2 linked regions of the Cricetulus griseus genome follow. The protein of the gene in region 1 purifies or fractionates together with the protein of each later gene. This does not show direct contact. Links are inferred from orthologs where the notes say so. Each region holds a gene or a part of one and is shown on either strand. Other genes may lie near its edges.

Evidence for each region. The genes of interacting proteins can lie anywhere in the genome.
Region 2: the proteins of transcription factor Maf (region 1) and Usp5 purify together in Homo sapiens (affinity purification with western blotting; 3 studies listed by BioGRID, with this or other methods). This does not show direct contact. The link is inferred for Cricetulus griseus from reciprocal best matches to the Homo sapiens genes MAF and USP5.

The regions. Positions count from the first base shown.
Region 1 is NC_048596.1:192,288,397-192,291,916, reverse strand, and holds transcription factor Maf, read left to right. Parts: upstream 1-1,353; coding exon 1,354-2,460; 3' UTR 2,461-2,623; downstream 2,624-3,520.
Region 2 is NC_048601.1:21,600,121-21,603,345, forward strand, and holds the end of Usp5 (ubiquitin carboxyl-terminal hydrolase 5), read left to right. Parts: intron 1-12; coding exon 13-166; intron 167-353; coding exon 354-438; intron 439-1,982; coding exon 1,983-2,076; 3' UTR 2,077-2,641; downstream 2,642-3,225. UniProt on the Homo sapiens protein: Deubiquitinating enzyme that participates in a wide range of cellular processes by specifically cleaving isopeptide bonds between ubiquitin and substrate proteins or ubiquitin itself.

The DNA of each region.
Region 1 (3,520 bases):
GCAGCAGCGCCAGAGCTGCGGCTCAGCAGGACAGGCCTCTCTAGAGCTCCGAAGAAAAGCAAACAGTTCTCCCGGGTCTTCCTAGATTCCAGCGCCCTTTTAGAAAACTCTGTCCCCTGGTGCACTAAACTTCAAGCGGGGCCGGGGTGGGGGATGTTGCTCCCTGGCAGCGCCGGAGCAGCGGCGCCGCAAGGGTTAAGCCAGCTTGTCCCAGCTGACAGTCAGCTGATTGGGCTGTGATTGACAGCTCCGAAAAGTTTCCTTGTTTCTATACTATTATGCTAATCGCGGCCGCTCTCGCCGCCTCCCATTGGAGGAGAGTGCCAGTCAATTTCCCATTTGAGTCTGACGTCACGGGTGCTATAAAACTCAGCAATTGCTTTAAACTCTTCTCGCTGGATCAGAGGCTTTAAAATCTTTTTTCATCTTGGAGCTGTAGCTCGGGCTGCTAGTCCGCTCGGCCTCTCCCCCCACCCTTTTGCTCTCGCCTCGCCTTGGCCCAGGACTTTGCAATTTTGCTTTTAAAAAAAGGCCAAGAAAAAAAAAAGAAAAAAAAAAAAGGCAAGAAAGAACTAAACTCCCCCTCCCTTGCTCCTGCGGGCCTGCCTGCACCTCGGTCTTGCACTTTGCACGGAGGGAGAGGGTGAGAGAGAGAGCGCGCGCACGCGAGGGATCCGGAGAAAGAAAATAATAATAGTAATCATAAGAGCCAGGCAGAAGAGGAGAGAAGAAGTGTTAACTACCCAGGTGCCGAGGCCCGCACCTCCGGGACAGACACCCGTCGCGCCACCCAGTCCCGGAGCAGCCGCTGCGCGCGCCCCGCCTGCAACCCAGCCGGCTTAGGCGAGCCCTCCTTATGCAAAGCGCGCAGCGGAGCGGCGAGCCGGGGACGCCGCGCACCGGGCCGGGCTCCTCCGGCATCCTCTCCGCCGGCCTCATCTCCACCGCCGCTGCTAGCTGCGGAGGACCTTCCCGAGCTTGAAGCGCCCGGGATCGGAGCTCAGGGAAGCGAGCAGGCGAGGAGGGGGCCCGGGGCGAGCGGGAGAGAGAGAGAGAGAGAGAGAGAGAGAGAGAGAGAGAGAGAGAGAGAGAGAGAGAGAGAGAGAGCAAGAGAGAAAAGAGAGAGAGCACATTGGCGTGAGCAGGGGGGAGGGAGGCGGGCGCGGGGGCTGCGGGCAGGGCGGGGGGTGTGTGCACGCTCGAGCTTTCGGGCCACAGCCACCGCCGCGCGAGCTAGAAGCGCCCTAGCCCGGCAAGCTGGCTCACCCGCTGGCCACCCAGCACAGCCCGCTGGCCCCTCTCCTGCAGCCCATCTGGCGGAGCGGCGGCGGCGGCGGCGGCGGAGGCAGGAGGATGGCTTCAGAACTGGCAATGAACAATTCCGACCTGCCCACCAGTCCCCTGGCCATGGAATATGTTAATGACTTCGATCTGATGAAGTTTGAAGTGAAAAAGGAACCGGTGGAGACCGACCGCATCATCAGCCAGTGCGGCCGTCTCATCGCTGGGGGCTCGCTGTCCTCTACCCCCATGAGCACGCCCTGCAGCTCGGTGCCCCCGTCCCCCAGCTTCTCGGCGCCCAGCCCGGGCTCGGGCAGCGAACAGAAGGCGCACCTGGAAGACTACTACTGGATGACCGGCTACCCGCAGCAGCTCAACCCCGAGGCGCTGGGCTTCAGCCCGGAGGACGCGGTCGAGGCACTCATCAGCAACAGCCACCAGCTCCAGGGTGGCTTCGATGGCTACGCGCGGGGAGCACAGCAGCTGGCCGCAGCGGCGGGGGCCGGCGCCGGCGCCTCCCTGGGCGGCAGCAGCGAGGAGATGGGCCCCGCCGCCGCCGTGGTGTCCGCCGTGATCGCCGCGGCCGCCGCACAGAGCGGCGCGGCACCGCACTACCATCATCACCACCACCACGCCGCGGGGCACCACCACCACCCGACGGCCGGCGCCCCGGGAGCCGCGGGCAACGCGTCCGCCTCTGCGGGCGGCGCGGGTGGCGCGGCGGCGGCCCGGCCAGCGCCGGAGGCGGGCGGCGGCGCGGGGCGGCGGGGGCGCGGCGGGGCGGGGGGCGCCCTGCACCCGCACCATGCTGCGGGAGGCCTGCACTTCGACGACCGCTTCTCGGACGAGCAGTTGGTGACCATGTCGGTGCGCGAGCTGAACCGGCAGCTGCGAGGGGTCAGCAAGGAGGAGGTGATCCGACTGAAGCAGAAGAGGCGGACCCTGAAAAACCGCGGCTATGCCCAGTCCTGCCGCTTCAAGAGGGTGCAGCAGAGACACGTCCTGGAGTCGGAGAAGAACCAGCTGCTGCAGCAGGTCGACCACCTCAAGCAGGAGATCTCCAGGCTGGTGCGCGAAAGGGACGCCTACAAGGAGAAATACGAGAAGTTGGTGAGCAGCGGGTTCCGAGAAAACGGCTCAAGCAGCGACAACCCGTCCTCTCCCGAATTTTTCATGTGAGTGTGACACGCGATCCCAGCTAGCCACCTTGTTAAATGCTCCGTGGGGGTCCGGCTTCTGAGTGGGCTTGCTAGTTGCAGGGCCACGCTCGCCACCACCTCGCCCCCTCCCCTGGCGAGTTTGCTCCCCTTGGCCTTGCACACACAGAGAGACACACACAGACACGGACACACACACACACACACACACACACACACACACACACACACACACACACACACCAAACTTGTGGTGGTGGTGGTGACTGTTTTGAATTGGGGAGGGGAGGGGTGTCTGGCTCATGGATTGCCAACCTGAATTCCCCATAACTTGCTAGCTTGGTTGTTTTGTTCTTTTTTTTTAAAACACCCCCCCCCCCCCCGCTCCACACACACACAGATACATACACACCCGGGACTTGCACAAGGGTCAAAGATCTGAGCAGAGTACTTCATGTAGGACATAGCTCACCTTTGAATCCGGCCATCAATCGCCCGTATTTTTTTTTTTTTCTTTCTTCTTTTTTCAGTTCATGAGCTGGTGTTCATTCTCTGTGTGTGTGTTTATTTTGTTTGGATTTTCTTTTGTTTTTTTTATTTGTTTTTGTTTGTTTTTTGGAGCTTGCCGTGTTTCCCAACCTCCACCCTCATTCCCTCTGCACCATGTTCTTGAGATAAAAGAACAGCAGGTTTTTTTTTCTCCTTCTGAGTTCTTCTGTGAGATTGAGCTTGCAAAGGAAAACAAAACAAAACAAAACAAAACAAAACAAAAAAAATGTGAAATGCTATAGACCTTGCAGCGTGCTGAGTTCCACCGGGTTTTTTTTTTTTTAGCATTGTTATGCTAAAACAGAATGAACTAAAGCCCCTCCTGAACCTGCCACAATCAAGCCTGCATCAAGCTCCTGGGTATGACTCTTGAGTTTTGGCCTTAGGATGCCAAATCTGGAAGTTTAGTCTGCCATTAAAAAACAAACAAACAAACAAAAACACAAAAACAAATTTACTCTCATCTCATGCATTATGATGCTTGCTACTTTGTCTTAGCAACAATGAACTATAACAGTTTCAAAGACATTATG
Region 2 (3,225 bases), on another chromosome or scaffold:
CTCCTCTCCAAGAACAATAGTTTAGAACGGGCTGTAGATTGGATCTTCAGTCACATTGATGACCTAGATGCAGAAGCTGCTATGGACATCTCAGAGGGACGCTCAGCTGCTGACTCCATCTCTGAATCTGTACCTGTGGGACCTAAAGTCCGGGATGGTCCTGGAAGTAAGTGTCCCCCAGCATGAGGGCAAACCTGAGGCCCCTCATTCCAGCACTGTGCCCTCCTGTCTGAGGGATTAGAAGCTTTGCCCCATGTTCCCTGAAATTCTTGTCCTGAGTTTGAGCTGTTAAATGCTGTCTACACAGGAACCTCATGTTTGCTCGTCTGCTTTATCTTTCTTTTCTTCCCCAGAGTATCAGCTCTTTGCCTTCATTAGTCACATGGGGACTTCTACTATGTGTGGTCACTATGTCTGCCACATCAAGAAGGAAGGCAGGTAAGTGGCTAGCAATATGCACTGTGAATGAAGAGGTGCTGGTGGGAATGAGGAAGGGCAACCTGGAAGTCCCTAGAATATTTGTAGGAGAAGGCAGGAAAAAAAAACGCCTCCCCCCAGGAATAGGCAAGCCACATCCCAGGGCTGAATCTGGCTGTCCGCTTTTGTAAATGAAGTTTTACTAGTACATAGTCATTTCATGTTTATGGATCACCTTCGACAGCAGTAAAGTTAAATAATTGTGGCAAAGACTGTAATTATTCAATGAAAATGCTAGTCAGTAGCTCTGTGTAGTGGCTTATAGCCACGGTGCTAGCATTGGAGGTGGAGGCAGGTGAGTAGTTGAAGCTCATCCTTGGCTACATGGTGAATGATTTTAAAGTGAGCCTGGGCTCTATGAGACTCTGTCACCAAAAGGGGTGGGGGTGGCCTACAGAGATGCTTATTGGTTAAGCTCATGCAGAAGACCTGGGTTCAGTTCCCAGCAACCAAATGGAGGCTAACAAGTATCTGAAACTCTATTTCCAGGGATCTAGCATCTTCTTTTGGCCTTCATGAGCACCTTCACTCATGTGCATACACTCCAAAGACAGACAGACAGACAGACAGACACACACACACAATCCTTTTTTAAAAAAGAAAAAGGAGGGGGCTGGAGAGATGGTTCAGTGGTTAAGAGCACTGGTTGCTCTTCCAGAGGACCTGGGTTCAATTCCCAGCACCCACATGACAGCTCACAACTGTCTGTAACTGTCAGTTACAGGGGATCTGACATTCTCACACCAATGCACATAAAATAAAATTTAAAAAGTAAAAGGATAGAAAATGTTGGTCTCTCTGGTTCCTCCAGCTTCACAGGAATGGGTGGAAGATGATTATAAAAAATGCAATAGGCTGACAAGATCTTAATGAGTAAAGACACTACCTCAGTCCTGACAGCCTGAGATAGATTCCCAGAACCAGAAAACTACCCTCTCTGACCTCTGTGTACACTTTAGTGCAAAATAAATTATTGTAATTATTGAAAATACAATCTGTTTGGGAATGGTGATGCACACCTTTAATCCCAGAACCCAGGAGGCAGAGGCAGTTGGATCTCTTGAGTTTGAGGCCAGCCTGGTCACAGAGTGAGTTCCAGGCCAGCCAGGGCTGTTACACAGAGAAACGCTGGGGGGGGGGGATGGCATGATGTAGTTGTATACATATTTAATCCCAGCATTGTGGAGGCAGAAATAGATAGATCTTTGAGTTTGTAGCCAGCCTGGTCTACATAGTATTCCAGGATAGCCAGAGCTGTTGGGATCCTGTTTCTAAGTAACAATCTGAAGACTCCAAATGGAAAATGACTCTTAAGGGATTTTGAAGTTCCTTTCAGACTGCTAGCTGGACTATAGATTTGGGGATCTCAGCATTAAATGAAAGTTGGGATCCTTCCCCAGAAACACCTCAGAGATCTCAGGTGGGCACCTGAGAGATGAACATGATACAGCTTGGATGCCCACTTTGTTCATCCTTCCTTCTCTGTCCCTTCCCCCATTTTCCAGATGGGTGATCTACAATGACCAGAAAGTGTGTGCCTCTGAAAAGCCACCCAAGGACCTGGGCTACATCTACTTCTACCAGAGAGTGGTCAGCTAAGAGCCTGACCTCAACCCTTACCACTTCGGGCAGGGGACAGACCATCTGGCATGAGGGATGGGGTTGAGGGATGGACTTAAGCCCCCTGCTCTGTACCCTTTTTCCTTTTGTCCCCAGCAGCCGGAAAGAGCTGGAGGCGGTAGGAGAATGGCCAAGCAAAGAGAAGGGGTACTCAGTAGACTTTGGGGATAGAGCAGGGATGGGACAGGAAGGGGCCGACTGCCTGTCCACACTGGGACCTTGTTGCTTCCTTTCCCTGCCCCTGGAATCCACAGTGCTCTGCTTCTCTGTGATGACCCAGCCCCTCGAGTTGGGAGGGGTCTTAACTGTGTGTGCGTGGGTGTGGCTTTATGCATCCTTCCAGGGGAGGGAGCGACTGTGCCTCCCCTCCCCTCCCCTCCCCTTCCCTTATGTGTTTGCTCCCTCGTGGTTGGGCAGAGAAGGATAGGAGGGAAATAGGGACACCTTCCCCCTTTGTTCTTCTGCCTCAGCCTCCCATTCTGTGTCTTTGGTCCTCTGGAAAAATGCCAAAATACATGATGTGAATAAAAGTACAATGACTGGCTGGTTTTGTTTAGTTCTTCATGGCAAACTTACTTTCCCTGAGTAAAGTTACTGATGTGGGGGGCAGACAGGTTCAGAGAGGCCCAACTGGGGTCCTTTGCCCTGCCTCCACCCTCCCACCCTGGGGAATTTTGTCTTTAGTTCTAAAAGTGCCCAGAAAACTGTGAGGTGGGGAAGTGGCTGCTTCCCCCCTCTACTGACCATGTACTTGGTCCAGCCCCAGTGTTACAGGATAAATAGAGGGTCTAGAGCAGGCAGTGGGCAGTCAGATGGTATTAGCTGACAGGCTTTACAAGACAACAGCCAGTCTGCCACCTCCCTTCCTGCACGCCAGTGTATCCCACTCTTTGCTCCATTTGGCCAAGACCTGACAAGAGAGGGACCCAGTAATCACCCGAAACGTTTGTGAAACACTTGGGCCCTTCCCTAGTGATTGCTGGAAGGGCTCCTCGACCATGGCTTTTTGCCTTGTGCTGTGGGGAAAGGGGGCCTCTCCTTTGGAGAGGTGCTCAGTCCCAGTGAGACTGGTTTAGGGCCATATTGCTGCCAGCCCTTTGGTTTCCCTGAGCGCGAGGCTCAACATCT